Linked DNA regions of Oryctolagus cuniculus. The protein of the gene in region 1 interacts with the protein of each later gene in a pairwise test. Links are inferred from orthologs where the notes say so. Each region holds a gene or a part of one and is shown in the gene's direction. Other genes may lie near its edges.

Region 1 (6,319 bases):
CTGAATTAGCAGGATGCTGGAATAGGGAGCTGGAGTCAAGAATCAAACCTACAAACAATGATATAGGGTGTGGGCTTGGTAATTAGCATCTTAACCACTAGATCAAAGGCCTACCCATAATCTCCATTTTTTAGTCACAAATCTTGAATTATGCCAACTCCTAAAGTCAACACTAACTTAATCAAACTTTAGTAATGTACAAATATTTCAGTGGCTCCTTATAAAATACTTCTTTGTACCTAAGACATTTTAAAAGTTTAAGGTACAACCTACACATTAAATAAGGAAGAATGGATTTCAGATGAACAGCAAACAATAAAAATGTTAGCAGAGTGGTGAAGGTTCTTTAACAGCACCCAAAAAGTGAGTAATGATGGTAAGCAGAATCTCATAAACAAACCTTTAAGTGAAATGAAGAATCAAAGATAGATGGTATGACTCCAGGTTTCAACTTAATATTTGGAGTACTTCTATCAAAATCTGACTTCTTAAAGTGCCTTGAGCATAACACATCTCCTTTTTTAGGTTCCCAAATGCCTGCAGCATTCACATCAAGTCTTTTCATTGCCAATACCCATTTTCTTTTGATGTTTTCATCTGTGGGGAATCTAGAAAAGAATATTAAAAATTAAACAGTATGGATATACTTGAATTAAATCTGTCTTATATAACTGGCTAAGGCTGAATTAATTCCTTCACTAGTTTGTTACCACTCTTGGGAACTGAAATATTCAGGGAACTATGTTTTATGTTTTCATAAATCTCAATTTTAATGTTCAGATTTTCTGCCAATTATGCTGTAGACTGTAGCCCTCATTTCAATTCTTCGCCTAAGGAAGAAAAATTTCAATGGATATTCAGCACTTTATATTAAGATCCACAGTTGAAAGGTTTTTCTTAATCCATAAGTGATAAAGAATGTCCCTTAGCCTTTTCCTATCTGAAGTGATTTCCAGATTTTCTCTCTGGTGAATAGGGCTCCTTGTACTTTCATTTTTCTGTAGCACAAGAAAATTTCTTAGTCCAGCATTTAATATACAGCAGGTCTACAAATGCTTGGTGACTGAGAAGTTGCAGAGTTTGGAGTTCTGGGGATCAGACCTTTTTTGAGAGATCTGGACGCCAATAAATTTCTAAATTTTCCAAGCTGGTTCAGATCTTTTTTGGAATACAGTAGGGTACATGTGGGTAGCAAATCTCTAGCAGATAGCACAGTGCCTGACACGTAAGTGGCAAAATAAATCTTCAGGAAATGAATCATTTTAAAATCTTATTGCTCATTCTCTCCTGCGGTTGTGAGGAGTATAGCTAAAACACTAAATTAGGATCATCTGGACTTACCTGTAATGCAGCTAAACAACCCTCGGTCGAACATGTAATTTATTTTCCTACAACCTATCCTTGGTCTATTTCTAAACAGAAAAGACAGTATATATTTGAGCAAAGCAGCTTCCTTCAGATTGTCAACTACATATAAGCCACACTGAATTTCCTTGAAGGTATGTTAAAATGCAAAGTAATATTAGCAAATTGATTTGGATATATATATATTTTGTTAACTAGTCTCTTGAAAACCTTGGCAGGTATCTTAAACTACATTGCAAAAGTGTAAGGTTGTCACTGTCACTTCAAGTTTAACTGAAAAGGTGATTTTAAAAGCACTTGGGCACTCAAGTTCAAAACTGAATACTTCAACAGAACGATCTTGGCTTTCTATCCGTCAACAGCACTCTGCTTAACCATGGCCGAATCTTACACGTGAAACGTCAGTCCCTTCAATTTGGAATTTGGCAAGCAGCGGGAAGCGCATCCAATGGCAGAGCAACATTTCACCATGATTTTAGCAGCTCATCAAGGAACTGAAAGAACAGGAATACGCGAAGTTAGTGACTTCAGAGCAGCCTGGGAGCCTCCTCACCTCTCCCAGGACGTTTTAGGACACATGTAACAACGCGACAAAGCCGAAGGCCAATGTTCCCTTCCAAGCCCTGCAGCTCTGCGCATCAAATGTTCCGGGGGCTTGGCGCTTTCATAAGGTGAGGGGTCTACCTGCACTTCTGGAGCCTTGCACACGGCCAGCCCCGCGCCCCCCAAGACCTCCTGGCGCGCTAACCGCGGCTCGCCTGGCCGCCTACCCGGGCACCCGGCTCCGGTCAGTGCCTGGCACCTCGGGCCTCCCAGGCCCCCGCTTCTCCCTCGCACTTGGCCGTCATTCTACATTTACCCCCGCGACTCTGACCAAAGTTTTCCTCCCCGCCCGGCCGGGCGCTGCGTGAGGGGGCGGTGGGGCCGTCTATGCTTTCACTTTTTCGTCCTCACGGCTCAGCCGCGGACGGGGCCCACAGTCAACGTGAATACACTGAATGAATGACTGAAGCAAGAGCGAGCAGAGCCGAAGGGGACGGGAGCAAGCAGCAGGTCGCGGCGCCGGCGCGCGCACGGCCCGGCTCCCGAGCTCCAGGCCTGGCGGCGCTCCGCCCCCTTCTCGAGGCTCCCGGCCGCCCGAGGGAGGGAGGGGCCGCCCTGTCACAGGTGCCGGTCCCCTTCCTCGAGGGCCAGCTGGCGTCTGCGCGCCGCTGCAGTCCTCCTCGCTCCGAGACGTGCTCCAGAATTCGGGCCGGCAGCGATGCGGAGCAAAGCAGCAGCGACATAAGAGTAATTACCGTTCGCAGCGAAGACAGCGACTACCATCGACGACAGATATTGCGTCTCCCCTCGCTTCCGCCCCGTCGCCCCGGGAACCGGAAATCGGCCTGCCCCGGGTCACGTGCCCCTCCGCCATCTTGGCCCCGGTGGCAGCAGCGGCCGGGAGGGGGTGCGCCCGAGCGGCGCTGCTTCTCTGGGCGTGGTTTGCATCCTGGGGGAAGGGTCTGTGGTGTGTGAGGGGAGGTGGTGGAGATGGCGGCGACGGCGCGGGAAGATGGCGCCCGCAGCCGGCAGCGAGGGCAGCGGGGCTGCGAGCACTATGACAGAGGATGTCTCTTGAAGGTGACGGCTTCAATGGGCTCATCTCCGACGAGCTTCCGCCGGGCAGGGCTGGGGGCGGGGTGGGCAGGGCGGTGAGGCTTGGGTTTGGAGTTTGAAGCTAGGTTGTTTGTCGGGCTACCTCGCTACCTGAAATGTTTTGGCCAGGCGACCATAGGCCCCGTATTTCTTCCCTGTGTGGTCTTTTGCAAGCAGAAACTCTTTTGCTTGGGATGAGGGTCGGCTTGTGCAAATCCGTTTCCCAATGGGTTTATTCGTCTCTTGCTGCTGGAAGTAGACTGAGGTAGCCCCTGGGCCCACTTCCGGCGTGTGATGAAATAATGAGAGGAGGGTGGGAAACGGGAGACTGGAAAACGAGTTCAGCTCCTGTGGTAATAGTTCAGAGCCTGCTAGCTTCATTTGAGAGGCCATGCAAATATCCAGAGCTGTGAAGGAGAAAATATGTGTGTGAAGTCGGAAGTGTGAGCGCTGTGAAATGGAACATTACGTATGGAAAAGTGCGTCGTGTGTATATATGGCGACTTTTGCTGTTTGAATAATCCGGAGGTTTTTGAATTGGCACCCATCCAATTGAAGTGTCCCGATTTTTCTTGCAAGAAGTGGTAGCTTTTGCTTAGAAAGGTTGAGGGTTGGAGTTGCACGGCCCTGTCTCCAAATCTGAAGACGTTCCCATTAATCGCTGTGATTTGGAGCAAGCTGGTGTTTTAAATACCTCTTATGCTCCACAGGAATGATAGAAGTTCCGCTTCATAAACAAGTATGAGGGTTATAAACTAAAGAGCATATATGGTGTTTTAGCAGGGTGCTTTGCCTGGGATGAGTGTAAATGTAGACCTAGCACCACCGCTGTTGTCATCACCCAGTCGCCGTCCTGAATTCTTTGGTGGTTCCACTTCACCAGCCAGCCGTGCCGATGGTCATTGACTGGAGTCATTAGATACAGGTGGTAGTCTCAGGCTGGGACGAACCACATAAACTCTTTTCTGTAGGCCATGGTTAGGGAAACGTTCCGTTGTGTTGGATGGGGCCGTTCAAATGTTGTGTAAGGAAATGGAATGCTATCCTTACTTTCCATTTCTGTTGAGATATTCTTTTACTCTTTTTAAAAAAAGATTTACTTTATTTATTTGAAAGACAGAGTTACTGATAGAGGTAGAGACAGAGAGAGAGAGGTCTTCCATCCGCTGGTTCACTCTTCAGATGGCCACAATGGCTGGAGCTGTGCCGATCCAAAGCCAGGAGCTTTTTCTGTGTCTCCCACGTGGGTGCAGGGGCCCAAGGACTTGGGCCATCTTCTGCTATCCCAGGCCACAGCAGAGAGCTGGATTGGAAGTGGAGCAGGCCAGACTAGAACCGGCGCCCATATGGGATGCAGGCGCTTCAGGACAGGGCTTTAACCCACTGTGCCACAGCGCCTGCCCGGGAGATGTTCTATTACTCTTTCAAACTTGAGATCTAAAACGAATTTGATATCTTAGACTCTTCTGTCCCCTCTGAAGAAACCACAGAACTAGATCTGTTTCATGGCATTCAGATAGTTGGCCCCGAGTGTCACTTTTTTGCCTTCCTCCTCCCTTCTTTTTTTTTTTTTTTTTGACAGGCAGAGTGGATAGTGAGAGAAAGAGACAGAGAGAAAGGTCTTCCTTTGCCGTTGGTTCACCCTCCAATGGCCGCCACGGCTGGCACGCTGCGGCCGGCGCACCGCGCCGATCCGAAGGCAGGAGCCAGGTGCTTCTCCTGGTCTCCCATGGGGTGCAGGGCCCAAGCACTTGGGCCATCCTCCACTGCCCTGCCTGGCCACAGCAGAGAGCTGGCCTGGAAGAGGGGCAACCGGGACAGAATCCGGCGCCCCGGCCGGGACTAGAACCCGGTGTGCCGGCGCCGCAAGGCGGAGGATTAGCCTAGTGAGCCTTGGCGCCGGCCCCTCCTCGCTTCTAAACATGGGAGGCCAAATAAAGTGTTTCAAGACAAGAGTTATGAACTAGATCAAATGCATTGCTTAAGTAAGATAAAAGCTGAGAACTGAAGTTTGAATTTGGCAAGGAGGTCCCTGGTGATATTGAAGAGGCGTGGCGGTGGAGTGACGGGGGTAAGCCTCATTGGTGTGGACTCAAGAGATGCCATGAGAAGTGAAACTGGAATTACAGACAGTCCTTTTGCTATAAAGGAGAGCAAGAAAAAAAACAGTGAGACCTTGGTTGCTGGGAGATGTGAGATTATGGGATCCCTCCCCCCTTTAAGGATGGAGGTGTTACAACATGTTTGTTTTTTCTTAGAAGAAGTGAGAACATTTTGTAGTGGAGGAGGGAGAGGGTAAACTAGGGGCACGGGCCTTGAGTAGCTAGAGAGGCTGAGATCCTGTGCACAAACAATTGGCCTTAGAAGCCGGGACTGTACATTCTTTGTGAAAGAAGTGAAGGCAGAGGATGAGGCTTTTTTGCGATAGGTTGACCAGGCAGTATGCTGATGCTTTTTCTCTAGCCATATTCAGCTGTTCCTGAGAAAGGCTGAAGAGAGTTGGGTTTAACTCGGTTTAGGTTCCGGAGGACTTTGGTACAGTAACTATGCAGAGGAAGCCAGGAGGGAACTGGGCTGTATGCAAGGGAGGACTGGGATCGAGTTGAAAAGAGAGGTGGCAGAGAAGTTTCCTGCTTGAAACTGGAGCAGCAGTTCAAGTGGTCAGTGGTCCCCGTGGGTCGCTGAGGCCCCTTCAGGGTGTCTGTGAGGTCAAAACTGCTTTCTATCAATGCTGATATATTATCTGTCCTTTTCAGTGTGATGGTGAAAATCAGTGCCTAAAACTGCTAACACCTTTGTATAACTCAAATCAGTGGCACTGAACTGTGCTACACCTGTTGTTTTAACAAAAAGGGCCAGTGAACTAGTGGACAGAAGATCTCTTGATCTCTGTCACTCTGCCTTTCAAATAAATACGTGAATTTTAAAAAAGGGCAGTTTCTCTTACAATGTTGTTAGTGAAGCAGTGACAGTATTTTATCAACTCTCTTTAATGCCCTGTGGAACCAAATGGGACTTTTTCCTCAAGTACTTCAGCAGATTGAAATGAGATGGTTGTTTTGAGGCAGACCTCTTGTGCAGTTGGATTGTGAAGGGAACTGATGGTTCTTTTCAAGGAGTAGCATTTTTTACTTGAAGAAAGTCATTCAGACTTGGATATATTTGGCAGACATTTTCTTGGAAAGGAGGGAAGCAAGACTGTTTATTGCAGGTGATTGAGTTGAAGCTTTCTTGTAAAAATTAAAATTTTGGAAAATTTTATTAGCTTCTCTGAACTTGAAAATTTCTCAAGACCAGAAGCCTTTTCTATTGAGAT
Region 2 (5,770 bases), on another chromosome or scaffold:
ATTCATTTTTTTTTTTTGCTCCTAGTATACCTTGAGGTTACATGAAGCATAGGAAATGTACGATTCAGTGTCTTTCTGTGTTTCAAGAAAAAAAATGAGTCATTCCGTATTTTTTTTTTCTCCCATACGTGATTATGAGAAAGCATTTTAGTAGTTTTCAATTTGGAATTTGGAAGAGATTGGGAGGCTGTTTACTGGGGATTTTACAAAAAAAAATTTAAAGACTCAGCGCTTCTTCCCTAGGTGCTTTAGATCTAAGAACGCACTGCCATGGACAGAAATATAAGGAAATTCATGATTGGATTGTTAAGTGGGTGGGCAGTGAGGCACTTCAAGTGAAAGCATTATATTGGTAAGAAATTTATAGGCAGAAAGAAAGGGTAAATGCATAATGGAATAGAAACCAGGAGAATGTAAGGTACAAGATACTGGTTTTATGTAGGAAGTTTTGCTCTCCCTGAGAGTGCCTGTGAAATTTTGAAGTAAGTGAAGTCATGATTAAAGGTTTGCTTTTGTCTTTGCTTATTCTCTTTCTTACATGTATATTTTACTTGGAAGTGGTCAGGGCACTGAGAGTTGATGAGGTTGGCTGTACTTTTAAACAAGGAGAGAAGAGTATTTTGATTTTGAGCCCCACAAAGAGTTTTGAGGATCACTAGTCTTGTTTTGAGAATAAGAGTAACAGCATTGAAAGTTTGGGAAAATCGGGGGCCGGTGCTGTGGTACAGTGGTTTAAGCCTCTGCCTGCTGCACTGGCATCCCATATGGGTGCTGGTTTGAGTCCCTGCTGCTCTGCTTCCAATCCAGCTCCCTGCTAATGAGCCTGAGAAGACAGTGGAGGATGGCCTAAGTGCATGGGCCCCTGCACTTACATGGGAGACCCAGAGGAATCCTGGCTTTGGATTAGTCCATCTCTGGCCATTGTGGTCATTTGGGGAGTGAACCAGTGGATGGAAGATCTTGCTGTCTGTCTCTCTCTCTCTCTCTCTCTCTCTCTCTCTCTTTCTCTCTCTCTCTCTCTCTAGCTCTGCCTTTCAAATAAATAAATCTTAAAAAAGTAAAAAAGGTTTGGGCAAATGGGTCCCAAAAACCAAATAGAGGTTTTTTTGCTCTATATAGAAATGTTTAATGCAGGTATTTTTTTTTAAAGATTTATTTATTTATTTGAAAGGCAGAGTTACAGAGAGAGGGAGACAGACAGCGATATTCTGTCTGCTGGTTCACTTTGCAAAAGACCTCAATGGCCAGGGCTGGGCCAGGCTGAAGCCAGGAGCCAAGAGCGTCATCCTGGTCTCCCACATGAGTTCAGGGTCTCAAATACTTGTACTGTCCTCCTCTGCTTTCCCCTACATGTTAATAGGGAGCTGGATTATAAGTGGAACAACCAGAAACAAACCAATGCCAATATGGGATGTTGACCTCACAGCTAGCAACTTAACCCACTAAGCCACAACTCAGTCCCTGGTATCTGTTCTTGATTATCTTTAAGTATCAAAATGAAAACAGGCTTAGCAAGAAGAGGAATGTAAGATAGATCTTTGGAAAGCTGTGTTGGATGTGTCAGTACAAAGGGAATATAGACACATTTTTGCCAGAGTTTGTTATTTTTTTTTAATTTTGTATTTATTTATTTGAGAGTTAGAGTTACAGTGAGTGGGAAAGACAGAAAGGTCTTCCATCCACTGGTTCACTCCCCAGATGGCTGCAGCGGCCAGAGCTGGGTTGATCCGAAGCCAAGAGCCAGGAGCTTCATCTGGATTTCCCACAGGGGTACAGGGGCTGAGGTACTTGGACCATCTTTTACTGCTTTCCCAGGCCATAAGCTGAAAGCCGGATTGGAAGTAGAGCAGCCGGGATGCGAACCGGCACCCATATGGGATGCTGGCACTGCAGGCGGAGGATTAACCTACTGTGCCACAGCACCAGCCCCCAGAATTTGTTCTTACTGATTGAATAAATGCACAAAAGTGAGTTGTGTTTTGGTAATTTTTTTCACCTTGTTCATGAAAATAATAGGTGCTGGGCTGGCATTGTGTCATAGCAGGTAAAGCTGGCACCTGTGATGCCAGCATCCCAAATGGGTACCAATTTGAGTCCTGGCTGCTGCACTTCCAATCCCACTCCTGCTAATTGCCTAGGAAAGCAATGGAGTATGGCCCAACTACTTGGGACCCTTTACCCACGTGGGAGACCCAGAAGAAGCTCCTGGTTTTGAGGAGATCCTCTCTCTATCTTTCTGTCTTACCACCTCTCTCTCTCTCTAACTCTGCCTTTCAAGTAAATAAATAAATCCTAAACAAAAAAATGGGCACTAATAGAAAATTTGGTATATTTGGGGAAAAGCTCAAATGCAGTCTTTGAGATATACCAAAATGTTACCAGTGTTTAGTTTTTCTGATTTTTCTAATTTTTAAAAATTCAGAATTATATACACAGTGACTTACTTTTTTTACTTACATTGTCTTTGGATACATGATGTTAACATTTTTATTTTTTCCACTCACCTTGCTATTCTCTAGATCTAAAAGAACTCAGGCAGAGACTATGAAACTAAAGCGGATCCAGAAAGAGTTGCAGGCTTTGGATGACATGGTATCAGCTGACATTGGAATCCTTAGGAACCGCATTGATCAGGCCAGTCTCGACTATTCATATGCCCGGTGAGTTGGGAAGATTGAATTCAGAGTAAGGAATCTGACTTAAATAATTCATATTGCTAGCTGGACCAGTAGCTTTAACGTATATCATCATTTAAGCCTCGTATCAGCCTCCGTAGGTGTGGCACTTACTCCTCTGTGGTTCTCATTCAAGTATCTTTTTCCTCTGTGTAGCCTTCCTTAACTCTACCAGTTAACCTTGTTCATATGCTTGTTAAAGCATTTCTTATATTATTTATTTACATTTCAATCTTTGTTGGTAAACTATCAGAAATTGAATGTTTGAGACTTTCTCTTTAGTCTTTCAGGATTTATCAGTGTAAATGTCTGAATGACTTGCACCCAAAACTCTGTTACTCTATCACCACGTTTATGCTGTTTCCATTAAAATTTTTGATTATTTGATATGATCTTTATGGGATTGGAACTTTTCTCATTTTAGTCTTCAGCATAGTAAGAAAACCTAGGCTTGCTTGCTTGCTTATTTTATTTATTTGAAAGAGTTACAGAGAGGCAGAGGCGGAGAGAGAGGTCTTCCATCGGTGGTTCACTCCCCAGATAGCCACAAAGGCTGAAGCTGTGCTGATTCGAAGCCAGGAGCCAGGAGCTTCTTCTGGGTCCCCCACATGGGTGTAGGGGCCCAAGGACTTGGGCCATATAGGTTAGTTTTTAAAAGTTTATGAATATTTTAAAGAAAATACCTCTCTTGGAACTTGCAGGTTTTTTTTTAAAGATTTATTTTATTTATTTGAGAGGCAGAGTTACAGAAAGAGAGAGCGAGCTTGCATCCAATGGTTCACTCCCCAAATGGCTCCAATGGCTGGAGCTGGGCCAATCCAAAGCCAGCCACTGTTTTTCTAGGCTATTAGCAGGGAGCTGGAGCAGAAGTGGAACAGCCAGGACTCGAACTAGCACCCGTATGGGATGCTGGTGCTGCAGGTGGAGGCTTAACCTACTATGACACGACATCAGCCCCACAGTTTCTTTCCCTTATGTTTTCCATTTCACCCATAGTATGTACAAAATGGTTTGATATTATATGTTTCCTTGGTTTCAACCATTGGCATTTTTTCAAAGAGAAAAAACTCATCATGGAGTATTTTTAAATGAACTGACACATGTAAAGAATTACATGGACTTTGCAAACAGATAAAAGGGCAAAAAAATGTACTATTTCAGGGTTTTTGTCCCTTCAACATTGCTTTAATCATCTGGGTTTGTCTTTTTTCACAAGAAAATGCTGTGTTAATAACTCAGTTTTGCATCTTTCTCTGTAACACTAGAAATCAATCAGAATGCCTCATTAGTCCAGGGTAAACCACAACATCAGAATGTTTATATAACAATTTAATAAAGCGGAAATGCTTGATTGTGGTTTTTAATTCACTGTTTGGTGTTTAAGAAAAAGGTCTGTGGTTGTCCTTGTGATTTTTAGAATTGTTGTATGGCCATATGCTGTTTGACTTAATGAATTGTCTTTATTAATTAACAACCTAAAGTAATGCCATCAGTAGCTCATAACTAGAAGTTCCAGATTTTTATTAATAATGTCATTAAGAAGGTAACCAAGATTTTAAGATTAAAGTAAGCTTTGATTTTTTACACTTTTATTTTCTGTAACATAAGTTAGCCAGAGGAGCATTTTTATGCCTTGCCAGCCTTTTATATGAATAGTTCATAGTACAAGAACCAGTGCTGAGTACCTCAACAGAAAAATAATATGATTAACATTTTAATTCTATCCTAGTGGAAACTGGAGAAGGATGCCTTTGCATATTGAATGTTATATAAAAATGCCTTGGTTTAGGCCTTCAGAGAACCACAGAGAAGGTGGAATTACTAGTTAAAGCAAAATATATACCATAATGTATGAATATTCTTAACGAAATTTTGACATATTTTTACATAGCAAAAATATATTTTTTGCATCTTTAATAATCTATAGATGACAATTTCTCATGGTATTGATACTTAATGTATGTGTAGTTGGATAGAATTGGATACTATATGAGGCTGTTGTTAAAAGCCTAAGCTCTTGTCTTAGGTCAAAGAGAAACCATAGATAATTGTGATTAGAACTAGGGTTGGGTTTGTTTCAAGCATAAGTTTAGGGCAACATTTTCTGAATTTACATTTATGGTTATTGAAAAATTGCATATTGGTAATATAATATGATCCAGTTTTTAGTGTGAGGTAATCTCCAGTTTCTGTAGGAACTTCATTTCTTTTTAATAAAAGTGATACCTTAGTTCTGTAGTACCTGGTATAATGCAGTGTCCACAAAAGGTTCTTGAATAGTAAATATGCCGAATTCACTTTAAAATTGTTTTCTGTGGAGCGATGTTAGGATAGACCCCTCTGATGAGACCAGCATGAGGCTGCTGCTTATAGCCATGTCTACAATGTTGTCATATGCTGTGCAGACCTGCCTGTGAGAGTGGCTGCATGTAGAATATTTTGTTGAACTCTCAGTATACTGGGAAAAATAATTATCCCTATTTATCCTCTAGGTTAAATAGATAACACCCTGTCCTCCCCCACACACAGAGGCAAATATTTTAAGTCATTTTATTAATAATTTACAAAACTGGAAATAAGTGGTATTGTGGAAAACAGCATACAGAAATGTAAGAATAATAAACCTTTTTGTATCAAGTAGTTTGACTCCCATACATAAAATGTTGAGAGAATATTGTTTCATCCTTTTAGCATCCCAGGGAGGTCCCCGTATTTGTAAAATATTGGGTGATTAAATTTCTCTTCTTAAAATCACTAACTGTATGAAATTGTCATTTCCTTTTTATACTTAGAATTATACATTTCACTCATTGTTTCTTGAATTTAGGGAGATTGTCCTTGAATAAGTTTTTCTAAAGACTGAAAGTCCCAGATTTCATCTGCATGATCAGTTTCACCCTCCAGAGTGCAGAGTGTGCCTCTGCATCTGTGTTTGTTTCCTGGGACTCCCATAACAATTTACCACAAACTGGATGGCTTCAAACAGCAGAAATTTCTCCTCATACTTCTGGAGGCCAAAATTCAGGATGTCAGCAGGGTCATGCTTCCTTCAGAGACTAAAGATGCATTCCTTGCTTTTTTAATCTTCTGATAGC
Region 3 (5,770 bases), on another chromosome or scaffold:
TGCACTTTCCATGACATTTTTTGAAGATCCCTTTATGTAGGGATTTCAAATTGTTTTTTTGCACCAAAATAAGCTTACTTTAGTTTCATTTTCCCATGAACTTTTTAAAGTACGCTGTGTCTTCTGCCCTTTCCATATTTGAATGATCAGTTGACTAGCTATATTACAGTATGCTGCCTGCCTGCACTCACTGCTCTAGATTGTCAGTTTTCCTCCACTTTAGGAATCTCACAAATTATTGGTCTTTGGTGTATCAGTGTTTCTCACCTTTTTGATCATCCAAGGAAAACATAACTGATGCAAGTGACTCAATCTGCAATTGATTTGAGACTAAGCAACTGATAACTTTTTCTGAAACATATGAAAGACATCTACATTTGCTTTAGAACAATTTTATTTCACAAATACTGAAATCTTGAGGGGAGGTCATTTCATTCAAGTTTGATAATAGAAATTGCTCAGTATTAGAATGCCGATTATTGTGTTCAGTTGGTTTCTTTATGACTGGAGCATCAGCATTCTACCACTTTGTTGTTGGGAAGCATTGTCTAAATCTAAGAGATGAAAGCATAGGAAAGGTTTCTTCACTTTTAGATTGAATTGTCTCATGTATTGTGTTACACCTCACTAGTTAATGTATTCAATATAAGTATAATAAAAGCCATAAATGTGATACTTTAAAATAATGGCTGTGCCAACTTGACCATTGATACTGCTTTCTGTTGGGCCTCTTTAGATGGGTGCATGTTTTTCACTTGTCTGGAGGTGAGTGAAAATGGAAGTAGTGTTTTAAAGATGAGTTTTCTCACCTATACTAGCAAGTTGTAAATATCTCAGGATTTTTTGTTGGTCGGGCCAGTTCTGTAAATGTGATTTTTATCTTTTCTTACTATGCACCCAGTGTGAACATACAGCATGTTCTGCACTTGGCCCTCTTGAGAGTTCACTGACTGAGTCCCACTTTTGTTTCCCACAGGTTATCCAGGCTGTCTTTTTCGGCATCTGTGTGCTGACTGATCTTTCCAGTCTCCTGACCAGAGGCAGTGGGAGCCAAGAACAGGAGAGACAGCTCAAGAAGCTCATCTCTCTTCGTGACTGGATGTTAGCCGTGGTGGCCTTTCCTGTGGGCGTTGTGAGTATGAACACTTTGAATGCATTCAGCCACAAAAGGAACTTGAGTGTTGTTTCAGACTTGTATGAGAAAAACAGGAGATTTGTCTGTTAGTCTTCTGGGACTGCTGTAGCAAAGGACCACAGATTGGGTGGTGTAAACAACAGAGACCAGAAGTTCTGGGGCTGGAAGTCGGACATCAAGGTGTTGGCAGGGTTGGTTCTTCTGAGGCCTCTCTCGCTCTGACTTGGAAAGGGTGTCCTCTCACTGTGTCTCCACATTTTCTTCCTTCTGTGCCTGACTGTGCCCTCATTTTCTCTTATTACAAGGAGAACAGTCATAGTGAGTTAGGCTGCCTTCCTCCCCACTCCAGTGGCCTCATTTAACCTTGATTGTCTCTTTAAAGGCCCTTTCTCCAAACACAGTCACAGTCTAAGGTTCTGGGGTATAAGATTTCAACATATGAATTTTGCAGGGGACACAGTTCAGCTCCTATCTGTTTCCCAAGCAGCTCAGACTTGAAGTGTATGGTCCTTGGCTGATCATTCTAGCGTTTTTGAACTTGGGAGAAGAAATTAATGTTATTTCATACTTCTTCACTCACTCAACTGTACCATTAGCTAATGTCACTGAAGTAAATGCTGCTTAATGTTTGGATCTATAATTTTATTGATTTTCATTGTTTTCTGTTAGATTTCCATCCCATAGTCCAATCTCCTTCATGAGTCTATGAATTTTCCACTGTCTGCATGTGAACGAGATGCTTTAAAGGGCCCATGAGACTATATAGATTTTTATCTATGTGTAGCCAGGAGAAGAATAAGAGAATTCTTGTATGTCTCAAATCATGAGGACAAGTCAGAATTTGTTACATAATTCAAAATCAGACCTTTCATCCACCCATTGATTTCTTGGAAAATGGAAGCACCAGTCACATGGTCTTGCATCTGTGCCAGTTCCAACACTCATGGTGGGAAGAGTCAGAAAATTGTTCTCCTACTCTTTCCAGTAGCTTTTATTCATATTTTCCAGGTCTGTAGCTGGCAGGAGCTTTCCCACACTTGCTGCATGAAGACCACCAGTTAGTAGGCACTCACGTTGTCACTCAGTTGCCATTTTAGTGTGTTGAGCTGTATTTTCTTGGTGAAATAGCTCTTAACTCTTGAGATCAACAAAAGGGTAGGGAAGCATTGTGATCTGGTGATACTCTTCTTCTCATAGCTTCATTCTTCTGAAAACCCAAATAAATGGGTGATTGAAACCATCTAGCAGAACTCTCTGTTTAAAATAGCAGGATCCAATGCTCTATGGACTAGTTACTATTTTTTTAACTTACCTAATAAAATTCAAATTGTTTCCATCAGAATGGTTATCTAAGAAAAAATTTCCACTGGCTTAATGTGTAAAGATATGTTTTCTTCTTTTTTTTTCTTTAGAAGACTTATTTACTTGAAAGGCAGAGCATCAGAGAGAGAGAGACAGACAGACACAGACATAGAAAGAGAACTTTTATTCACTGATTCACTCCCCAAATGGGCCAGGGCAAAGCCAGAAGCCAGAAACCAGAAACTCCATCTGGTCTCCCACATAGGTGGCAGCGGCCCAAGCAAGTGAGCCATATTCCACTGCCTTCCTTAGTTGCATTAGCAGGGAGCTGTATTGGAAGAACAACAACTGAGGCTCTAGCTGGCACTGCAGTATGGGATGCCAGGGTCACAAGTGGTGGCTTAACCCTCATTCTGTGCCAAACTGCCGGCTCCAGGACATGCTTTTTGTGTAAGAGAGTTATCTAGAAATTTCAAGTTGTGTGTGTGTGTATGAATATGGTATCAAACTGTGTTTCTACAAGAAGACTCTGTCTTACATTATGAACCTTGCAGCTGTCTTCAGTGGCTCATTAGATGTTAATGACATTTCATTTACGGTAAACTTTTGCACCTTTTTGTGCTTGAGACTTGAGGTATCCGTCAACTTTTGTGTCCTTTCTTCATTTAGCCCACCTGTGTTTCATAGTTTGTAAAGTGAGTGGTGCCTTTATTTATTTTTTTCTTGTTTCATTACATCTGATGTTTTCCTTCATTTTTTACTGGGTGTTGTTTTGATTCTGTTTTAGAATAAGAGAGAGGAATAAAAATACCTTTCTTCCTCACCCTCGTTTTTAACCAGAAGCCACATTTCCATGACAGGTGTGTGTGCGTTTCCTGACAGCAGGACTGGTTTTTGCAGCATTGCTCCCTGGGGCCTGCCATGCTGCCTAGCTCGCAGGAGGTGAACTGTTTTCTTTAAATTCATAGAAGAAATGGAAGAATCAACAGTGTTGAATCAGAGGTGTGCAACTTTGCTGATTTCTTTAGCTCACTTTTCTTTGCTCACTGATATTTCACGGTCATTATTTCCATTTTTCACAATCGTTTGTGATGTGTGAGTTACTTTTCCTTTTACAGTCTCTATCCTGTTATTTTTTCTGAACTTTTAGAAGTTCCTTGGCTACATTTCTTTCTGTTCTCTATCTCTGTCTCTCCTATTAAGAAGAACTTTGGTCAATATTCTCTAGAAATACTGCATTTTCCATGGTTTCTCCTGTTTCCTTCTTACTCTGTCATTTCACTTTATATATGTATATATTCCCAATTTACATCAGATTTCTCCCTCCAGTACATAGAAATTCATTTTGAGTGAAAAAAAATTAACCAATCTCAACAAATGCCTTCTTTTAAGATCTCATTCATTTTATTTCTAAGTTATGTCTATAGAAGATTTGAATGTGGCTATTTAATAAGTATTTTAGCCTCAAGATTTTTTTTAATGAAAACATGTACTTGTGTGAATTCTTGCCCTTTCTCTGAGGTTATCTCCAGCTTTCCTTTCTGTTGAGTCTGTATATTTGCTGTAGCTTGAAAGGTGTCCACATGTCCCTGTGTTCCTTTTTCTGTGTCCTGTACTGCTCAAAAAGGTTTAGAATCCCACTGGAAGTTTATTCATATGACTTGAGACTTCCTTCCTTATTAAAGTGCCAAACCATTCCTGGTGCAAAGCCAAATTGCTTGACGAGGCATCCTTTTTATGATTCCTGTGCCTCCTGGCCAAGAAGGAAGTTGCCCGGCCTGGAGGGCTGATCACGTCAGAAGGATGAGAATAGCAGTGATGCCCAGGACTGGATGGATGCAGCGTTGTAATGCCTGTGGGAATCTGCAGTAGAGAACGCTTTATCATGTGTGCAGATGATTAATGATAACATTTACAAATCAACATCTCTTACTATTTCGGGTGGTGCAGTTGAAATCCTATGGAAACAAACACCCAGTGGAATACTGGGTGTGGCTTGAACATCCTCAGGTAGACAGTGCACAGCCTCAGCTCCGAGCAATCTGGGGCCCCAGAAGTCTCCCCTGCTCTGCCAGGGGACTGCCAGATTCGCTGAGTGGCTTCCTCCACTTCACATTTTCTGCTTGTCAATCGGAAGTTTACCGGGAAAACAAGGTTATTTTTGCTTTATGATGTGGGGCAGAAAGGCTGTGGGCATAGAAAGAGAGCAAAGAATGGTGGCTGAATTTATCACCTCTGCTCAGGGTTCTCTGAAGAGCCTCTTAGCCCCGAGCAAATTTTCCTGGGGCTCCCATTATCTCTGTCTCACCTCAGTTGCAACCAAGGCAGCAAAGACAGACCCGGGTAGGTTATCTAGGTTTTGTGCTTTCTACACTACATCTTCCTTCAGTACCGAGGTTAATTGAAAGTTGACGGTAATTGCTTTATGTGAGCTTGCAGTACTAAATATGATTCTGTGACCCGCAGACCTAATGTATCTATTTCCTGGGCTCTCTTTATTTCAAGGATATATAAAAAATCATGAAGCATTCCAATCAGAGATAATTGGAGTAAAGTTTTGTTTCTGCATAACCTTGAAGGCATCAGGCAGGGTTGCTTGAGTGAGCATCACATGTATCATCCTGATTTCTGTAGATTCCCATAAATGCAAAGCTGGCCTTGATTAGTAACGCTAATGGCCGGAAACCACCACCACTCCCAGTGCCTTGCAACTCATTTTGCAGGGATCACTCAAGGGAGGCTCTTCTTACCACGTGCAGTTTATTTCTGAACCTTGTCACCCTTTTAAAGAAGCATTACAAATAATTCTATGACAATTTTGTGGTCTGGAAGCACTGAAGTTTATTAGGAGCAATCAAACCAAGAATGTCTTCTGTCTCCTGTGAATTTGTTGACTTTTGTGCTGGCGAGATCCCATTATAGTTAAGAAAGTAAGCTTAGGCCTTTTAACCTGAAAAAAATAAATAAGTAAATAAATAGATAAAGCACATGATAGAGTATGAAAGTGTCCCTCTCAGAAACCCCAGACATGTCTCTAGCCACTAGCCAAAGTAGCTCTTTCGATGAAAAAGAGCAATTAAACATTTTCCATTAATTCAGCTCTGTGCTCCCTATTCATTCACAGCTGCTCAGCTTGAGTAACACACATGATCAGACCTCATACCACACCAGTGTACCTCTGTCCTGGTGTTGCCTTGGGTGGCTGTGGTGCAGATGCTGGCCTGCTGATCCCACTGTGAAGTTGGAGAGGTTCCTCTCTGGGAGGATGTGAGGAGGCCCTGAAGGTTTGGATTGAGTCTCACCTGGAACGGGCTTCCAGGGTATGAGGAGCAA
Region 4 (5,770 bases), on another chromosome or scaffold:
GAAGTGAAAAAACTTCCTATCAAAGTCTACGGCCATAATGTGATTTCACATAAAGGGATGATATATTGTCTAGGAGGAAAGACAGATGACAAGTAAGTGCCCTGAAACCTCCTTATGATTTATAGCCAAATGATTTTTATTACAAGAGTTTCTTCCTCTTTTCATGTAAATCTATATACTGAAATAGGACTTGATTCCCATTCACTATATATTGGAGGTAAAATTTCAAAAATAGCGGTTTGAAAAGTTACCGTAAGATATTACAAATGGTTTCCAAAGGGAAAATTATGAAATTCAGAAGTTGCAAGAGTAAATGTGTAGACACTAGGCATGCTAGGTAAGCTCAATAATAAATTTTCTTATGTTGGAAAAGCAGCATCTAAGAGCACTAGGATCACAATCTAGTCTCCTATTTACTATATAGAACCTAACTGGTTTTCTTATTCACTTAGCCATAAGTAGATTAAAAACTTTAATGTACTTTTTAATATGGCATTTAAAATATATCTACTAAAATAATAGTGCACTAAAAGTATCATGGATTTGTACTTTATGTTCATAAAAGGGAATTTAGATTGGTCAGTTTGAAACTGAAAAGTACAGTGACTGGAAAGAGGACAGTTACTTCTTCAGCGATGTTTTACGTATTCACTCCCTGACAGGATATTCAATATATTTAATAACTGCTCAAAAACAGGCACTAATCAACCAGAACACATAATCGCTGCTGTTGCCACTAGTGCCCAGGCTCTTGTCAAAATACCTGGATGAAGTTTCATGTATATGGCTAATTTGATACCTAGGCGCTTCTCAAGAGATAGATAATTGAGAAAGAGATCTTATAACTCGGAAAAGTGCATTCGCAGTACTCCAGAAGTCAGGCAGTTTAACTAGTAGGCTTTCTGCTAAAACAAGCATTTGTGGTTTAGCAAGTGAAATCGCATCTCTTGCCCCTGAAAACTGCTCAGTTTGGCTTGTCATCATTTGCCCAGGCTGTTTAATTACCATGGATGTCCAGTCTTGGAAAAGGTTGACTCCTGATTCCAGCTTCCAACTGATCAGACCCTGGGAAGCTGCAGGGATGGCTCAATTAATTGAGTTCCTGCCACCTGCATGGGACATCTGGACTGAGTTGCCAGCTCCCAGCTTCAGACTAGACCAGCCCCCTGGACACTGCAGGCACTTGAGGAGTAAAACAGTGGTTGAGAGCTCTTTCTCTCCCTCTCTCACACTTTCTCCCTGTTTCTCTGTCTCTCAAATTTTTAAAGCAACGATTTTCATACAATCTGTTGATATTCAAAAATAATATATTCTGAAATTTTGGTATCTTCCTTAATCCCAGCTATTCCCATCAAATGAATATTTAAACAAAGGTATATTATAAACCACCTAGTGCCAGATCTTATTTTGGGCATATTTCCTGAGTAAGTGGCATAGAAAATCTCCATTAAGCAGTGTTCTGACTTTAGAAACCCAGGAGCCCTTCCAAAAATGATTTAAATTGTTTCCTTCGAGTAGCATTAGTAACTAGGAAAATGATATGTCAGAAAGAAGCATGCGGTTCTTGTCATGAGAATATATTAATCTTGACAGTATGATTAACCAAGACAACATTGCTTGACAAATGTCAACATCAAGAACTTTGAGTGAGTCATTATCTAAAAGTAAAGACTGAATTGCACAAATTATAGCTAACGTATTTGAAGAACATTCTTTTGTATCATGTTCTTATCAAGAAGTTTTTGTTTTTTAAAGATTTATTTGAAAAGCAGAATTACAAAGAGAGAGGGAGAGATCTTCCATCTTCCGGTTCACTCCCCAAATGGGCACATGGCTGGGGCTGAGCCAAACCAAAGCCAGGAGCCTGGAACTCCATCTGGATTTCCCACGTGGGTGCAGGCACTTGGGCCATCATCCTCCACTGCTTTCCCAGGCACACTAGCAGGGAGCTGGATTGGAAGTAGAGTAGCTGGGACTCAAACTGGTGCCAATATGGAATGCTGGCATTCCAGGTGGTGGCTTAACCTGCTATGCCACAACACCAGCCCCAAGAAGTTTTCAAGTGATACCCATAGTTAGTATTAGGGAATGCCTCTGTTGCAGGTACCTGGCCTTTTATAAGATTAAGAAACAGCTGTCCTGGGGCCAGCACTGTGGCATAGCGGGTTAAGGCTCCAGCCTGCAGTGCCGGCACCCCATATGGATGCCAGTTCGAGTCTAGCTGCTCCTCTTCTGATCCAGTTTTCTGCTATGGCCTGGGAAAGCAATAGAGGATGGGCCAAGTCCTTGGGGCCCTGCACCTGGGTGGGAGACCTGAAAGAAGCTCCTGGCTCCTGGCTTTGGATCAGCTCAGTTCTGGCCATTATGGTCATTTGAGGAGTGAAGCAGCGGAATGGAAGACCCACCACCCCCCACCCCGCCGCCTCTCCTTCTCTCTCTGTGTAACTCTGACTTTCAAAAGAAAGAAAGAGAGAGAGAGAGAGAGAAAGGAAGAAAGGAAGAAAGAAACAGCTGTCCTCACAAAAACTTGGAGCATTTCTTTGTTATATATAGAGTTAAATCATTATTTGGAATTCTGAACTCTCATCACTAAGTAATGGGTAACTTTACTAAGAATAATAATTCAGATGAATCCAGGGTTTTCTGAGAGCATTTAGTACATAAAACTCTTCTCATCACTCATCAGCACAGATGCCTACATTGTCTAATGTATATCCAACATTTCTTAAAATGCATCTGTGTATTAATGGTAAATAAAATGAGAGATTGTATTAGTTAAGTGTAAAATAGGCATGTGTTCATCTGCCTATTACTATTATTTTTAAATATTTATTTGACAGAGTGACACAGAGATCTTCCATCTGTTGGTTCATTCCCCAAATGGCCCCAGGGAAGCCAGAAGCCCAGAACTCCATCCAGATTCTCCCCTGTTGGGTGGGTGGCAGGGACCCAAGCACTTGGGCCATCATCCATTGACTTCCCAGGCACAATAGCAGGAAACTAAATGGGAAGCAGACCAGCAAATACTCAAGCTGGCACTCACATGTGGGATGCCAGTGTCATAAGCTGTGGCTAGCTGTGCCATACTGCCAGCCTCCCACCTGATTATTTTTAAGTTAACTTATTCATTCCTAAAACATTCAAATAATGAAATTAATAAATTAATATTTCTTATTACTGAGGCATAATAAAGGATTTGTGATTTTTTTCCCACCCAACTAGCATAAAAACAAAGTTTTCCATTGAATTTATTAGCAGATAGAATTAGAATCTGCTGTTCCTGAACTCCTAAGTGGTTGCCTAGAAGTAGAATAATTATTTACTTATTTTTAAGACTTACTTATTTGAAAGGCAGAGTCACAGAGAGGCAGAGGCAGAGAGAGAGAGAGAGAGAGGTCTTTCATCTGCTGGGTCACTTCCCAAATGGCCGCAACACCTAGAGCTGGGCCAATATGAAGCCAGGAGCCAGGAGCTTCTTCAGGGTCTCTTGTAAGGGTTCAGGGACCCAAACACTTGCTTTCCCAGGCCATAGCGAAGAGCTGGATCAGAAAAGGAGCTGCTGGGACTCAAACTAGCACCCACATGGGATGCCAACACTGCAGGTGGCAGATTGACCCGCTATACCACAGCACCAGCCCCCCAGCTAATTACTTTATAAAATAGTTTTGCTTTCCACATTTGGATTGTCCTTTACCTAGCAGCAAATGTTCACGTTAAGAACTCTGTGGAGTTTTTCTGGTCCTCTGTCACACTACATACTTTATAGGAGAACCAATGCCAACTTACTACTGAAGTTGCTTTCAAAAAATATTTTAAAATGGATATTTGTTTTCTTTTCTGATTACAGAAAGTGTACCAACAGAGTGTTCATCTACAACCCCAAAAAAGGCGACTGGAAAGACCTGGCTCCGATGAAAACCCCGCGTTCCATGTTTGGAGTGGCGGTCCACAAAGGCAAGATCGTGGTCGCAGGGGGTGTCACTGAGGATGGTCTTTCAGCTGCAGTGGAAGCTTTTGACCTCACAACCAATAAGTGAGTTGCTGAATCTCACAGTCACTGTGCATTTCAGTTGTTACCTGATAAAAATTAAGCTTTCAGTTAGCATGTGGCAGGGCTAGGGGCAGGGAGTCATCAATTTAAGGGGAGTATTTTCATGAGGGTTTCTTCTGTGGCAACTGAGAGTAAAACTCCTAACATTTGGATGCACCGAGTGTGACCCTCAAGTTGATGCTGGCATGCCTTGCTCGTCCTTACTTGTGTTAACTGTGTGAATGGAGTCATGCTAAGGTAACACTTCTGAATAACTGTGTTCATGTAGATGGATATACATGTCTCTGTGGAGTTATTCAATTGGAAATATGTAGTTTCATTAAAGATGAGAATATCTTATTAATGACTGATATTAAGTATGAATGCTTCAGAAGTTTGGTTTCTTTATGTTTTTTAGATGTTTTTTAAAGCTTGTTTTTTAAGCTTTTAGCAACACTATGAAAAATACTTGGTATTCTTATATAAAATTAATTTTTTCAGAATCTTTGTGCCCACACATCTAGATGAGTATATACTTTCATAGTTTAGCAATAAGTTAAAAATCAGAGTACTGTTACTAGTTTTTTTAGAAACTATGTATGTCTGACTACAAAATAATAACTGAAAGTCACAAGCAACTTTTATGTAATAGAACCTAAAAGAGCACTAAAACATATTTTAAGACTGTATATTAGTTAAGCACTCATAATATAAAAAGTTAAAGAAGCAGCACAAAATTGTAAATCCTCTGTTCCTAGAGTTCTTCATATGTTTGGATACCTATATCCTTTTTTTTTTAATAAAAAGACAAGCTATACCAAAATGTTACTTATGATTATATCTGGAAACTATGATAATGAGGGTATTTGTTTTCTTCTATAACTTTCTGTACTTCCTAGATTTTTATAGTGTATATGTATTATTTTTATGGTTAATAAAAATAGGTTTAAAGAAAAACTATGAGGTTTTTAGTTCTTTAGAACTATAGTTCTGGGGTAATGCAGTGGAGAGCTACCACATGACTAACTCATTCCCAGTTCTTGAAACTTCCAGCCAATGTGGTTGATTTTATCTTCAGTTGTCCTATTTCAGATGGCTGTTAACATTAAAAAGTTCTCCTAAAACCTTTATATTGTAAAGTACAAGTCATTAAAAGTAAATTTACCATCTCCATCCGTAGCTTCAAAACTATCTTTATCATATACCTTTATTGCAAAGGATTGGAGAGTTCTTGAGAAAAGCTTGAAATTAAGAGTTTTTAAATGTTTGTATTAGTATTCAAATGTGGGCCACAGAACCCCACTGTTTATGACAAATAGTTTGGCAACCACTGCTGAAGGTGCTAAATCATGAAATATTCTAAGTGTGATCTATTGAAAGCTTTCTATTTAATATGATTATTACATCTTTCAAATTTAAGGAATTTTAAAATATTTTCTAGTTGTAAACTTCTACTTTTAGATGCTTATGCTACTTGAATTTTTAAAGTATTTCCTGTTCAGTAAATACATTTAATATGTTAAGTTTTACATTCACTATATTTTCAATAATACCCAGATGGGAAGTAATGACTGAATTTCCCCAAGAAAGAAGCTCCATCAGTTTGGTCAGCCTGGCTGGATCTCTGTATGCCATCGGTGGTTTTGCTATGATTCAACTGGAATCTAAAGAGTTTGCACCCACTGAAGTCAATGACATATGGAAGTAAGTTCTCTTCACTCTCATTTTCAGAACCAGATA

What was found.
Region 2: the proteins of RCHY1 (region 1) and GORAB interact in a two-hybrid assay, tested with the Homo sapiens proteins (3 studies listed by BioGRID and IntAct). The link is inferred for Oryctolagus cuniculus from reciprocal best matches to the Homo sapiens genes RCHY1 and GORAB.
Region 3: the proteins of RCHY1 (region 1) and AIG1 interact in binary tests that used the Homo sapiens proteins (3 or more experiments, as listed by UniProt). The link is inferred for Oryctolagus cuniculus from reciprocal best matches to the Homo sapiens genes RCHY1 and AIG1.
Region 4: the proteins of RCHY1 (region 1) and KLHL41 interact in binary tests that used the Homo sapiens proteins (3 or more experiments, as listed by UniProt). The two-hybrid records come from large-scale screens. The link is inferred for Oryctolagus cuniculus from reciprocal best matches to the Homo sapiens genes RCHY1 and KLHL41.

Annotation. Positions count from the first base shown.
Region 1 is NC_091439.1:90,385,830-90,392,148, forward strand, and holds the start of RCHY1 (RING finger and CHY zinc finger domain-containing protein 1), read left to right. Parts: upstream 1-2,489; 5' UTR 2,490-2,898; coding exon 2,899-2,988; intron 2,989-6,319. Other genes in the region: THAP6 (THAP domain-containing protein 6), read right to left, coding at 401-608, 1,757-1,836. UniProt on the Homo sapiens protein: E3 ubiquitin-protein ligase that mediates ubiquitination of target proteins, including p53/TP53, TP73, HDAC1 and CDKN1B. Mediates ubiquitination and degradation of p53/TP53; preferentially acts on tetrameric p53/TP53.
Region 2 is NC_091438.1:28,442,882-28,448,651, forward strand, and holds part of GORAB (RAB6-interacting golgin), read left to right. Parts: intron 1-2,519; coding exon 2,520-2,660; intron 2,661-5,770.
Region 3 is NC_091436.1:25,488,651-25,494,420, reverse strand, and holds part of AIG1 (androgen-induced gene 1 protein), read left to right. Parts: intron 1-976; coding exon 977-1,132; intron 1,133-5,770. UniProt on the Homo sapiens protein: Hydrolyzes bioactive fatty-acid esters of hydroxy-fatty acids (FAHFAs), but not other major classes of lipids. Show a preference for FAHFAs with branching distal from the carboxylate head group of the lipids.
Region 4 is NC_091434.1:71,567,461-71,573,230, reverse strand, and holds part of KLHL41 (kelch-like protein 41), read left to right. Parts: coding exon 1-92; intron 93-3,847; coding exon 3,848-4,033; intron 4,034-5,587; coding exon 5,588-5,734; intron 5,735-5,770. UniProt on the Homo sapiens protein: Involved in skeletal muscle development and differentiation. Regulates proliferation and differentiation of myoblasts and plays a role in myofibril assembly by promoting lateral fusion of adjacent thin fibrils into mature, wide myofibrils.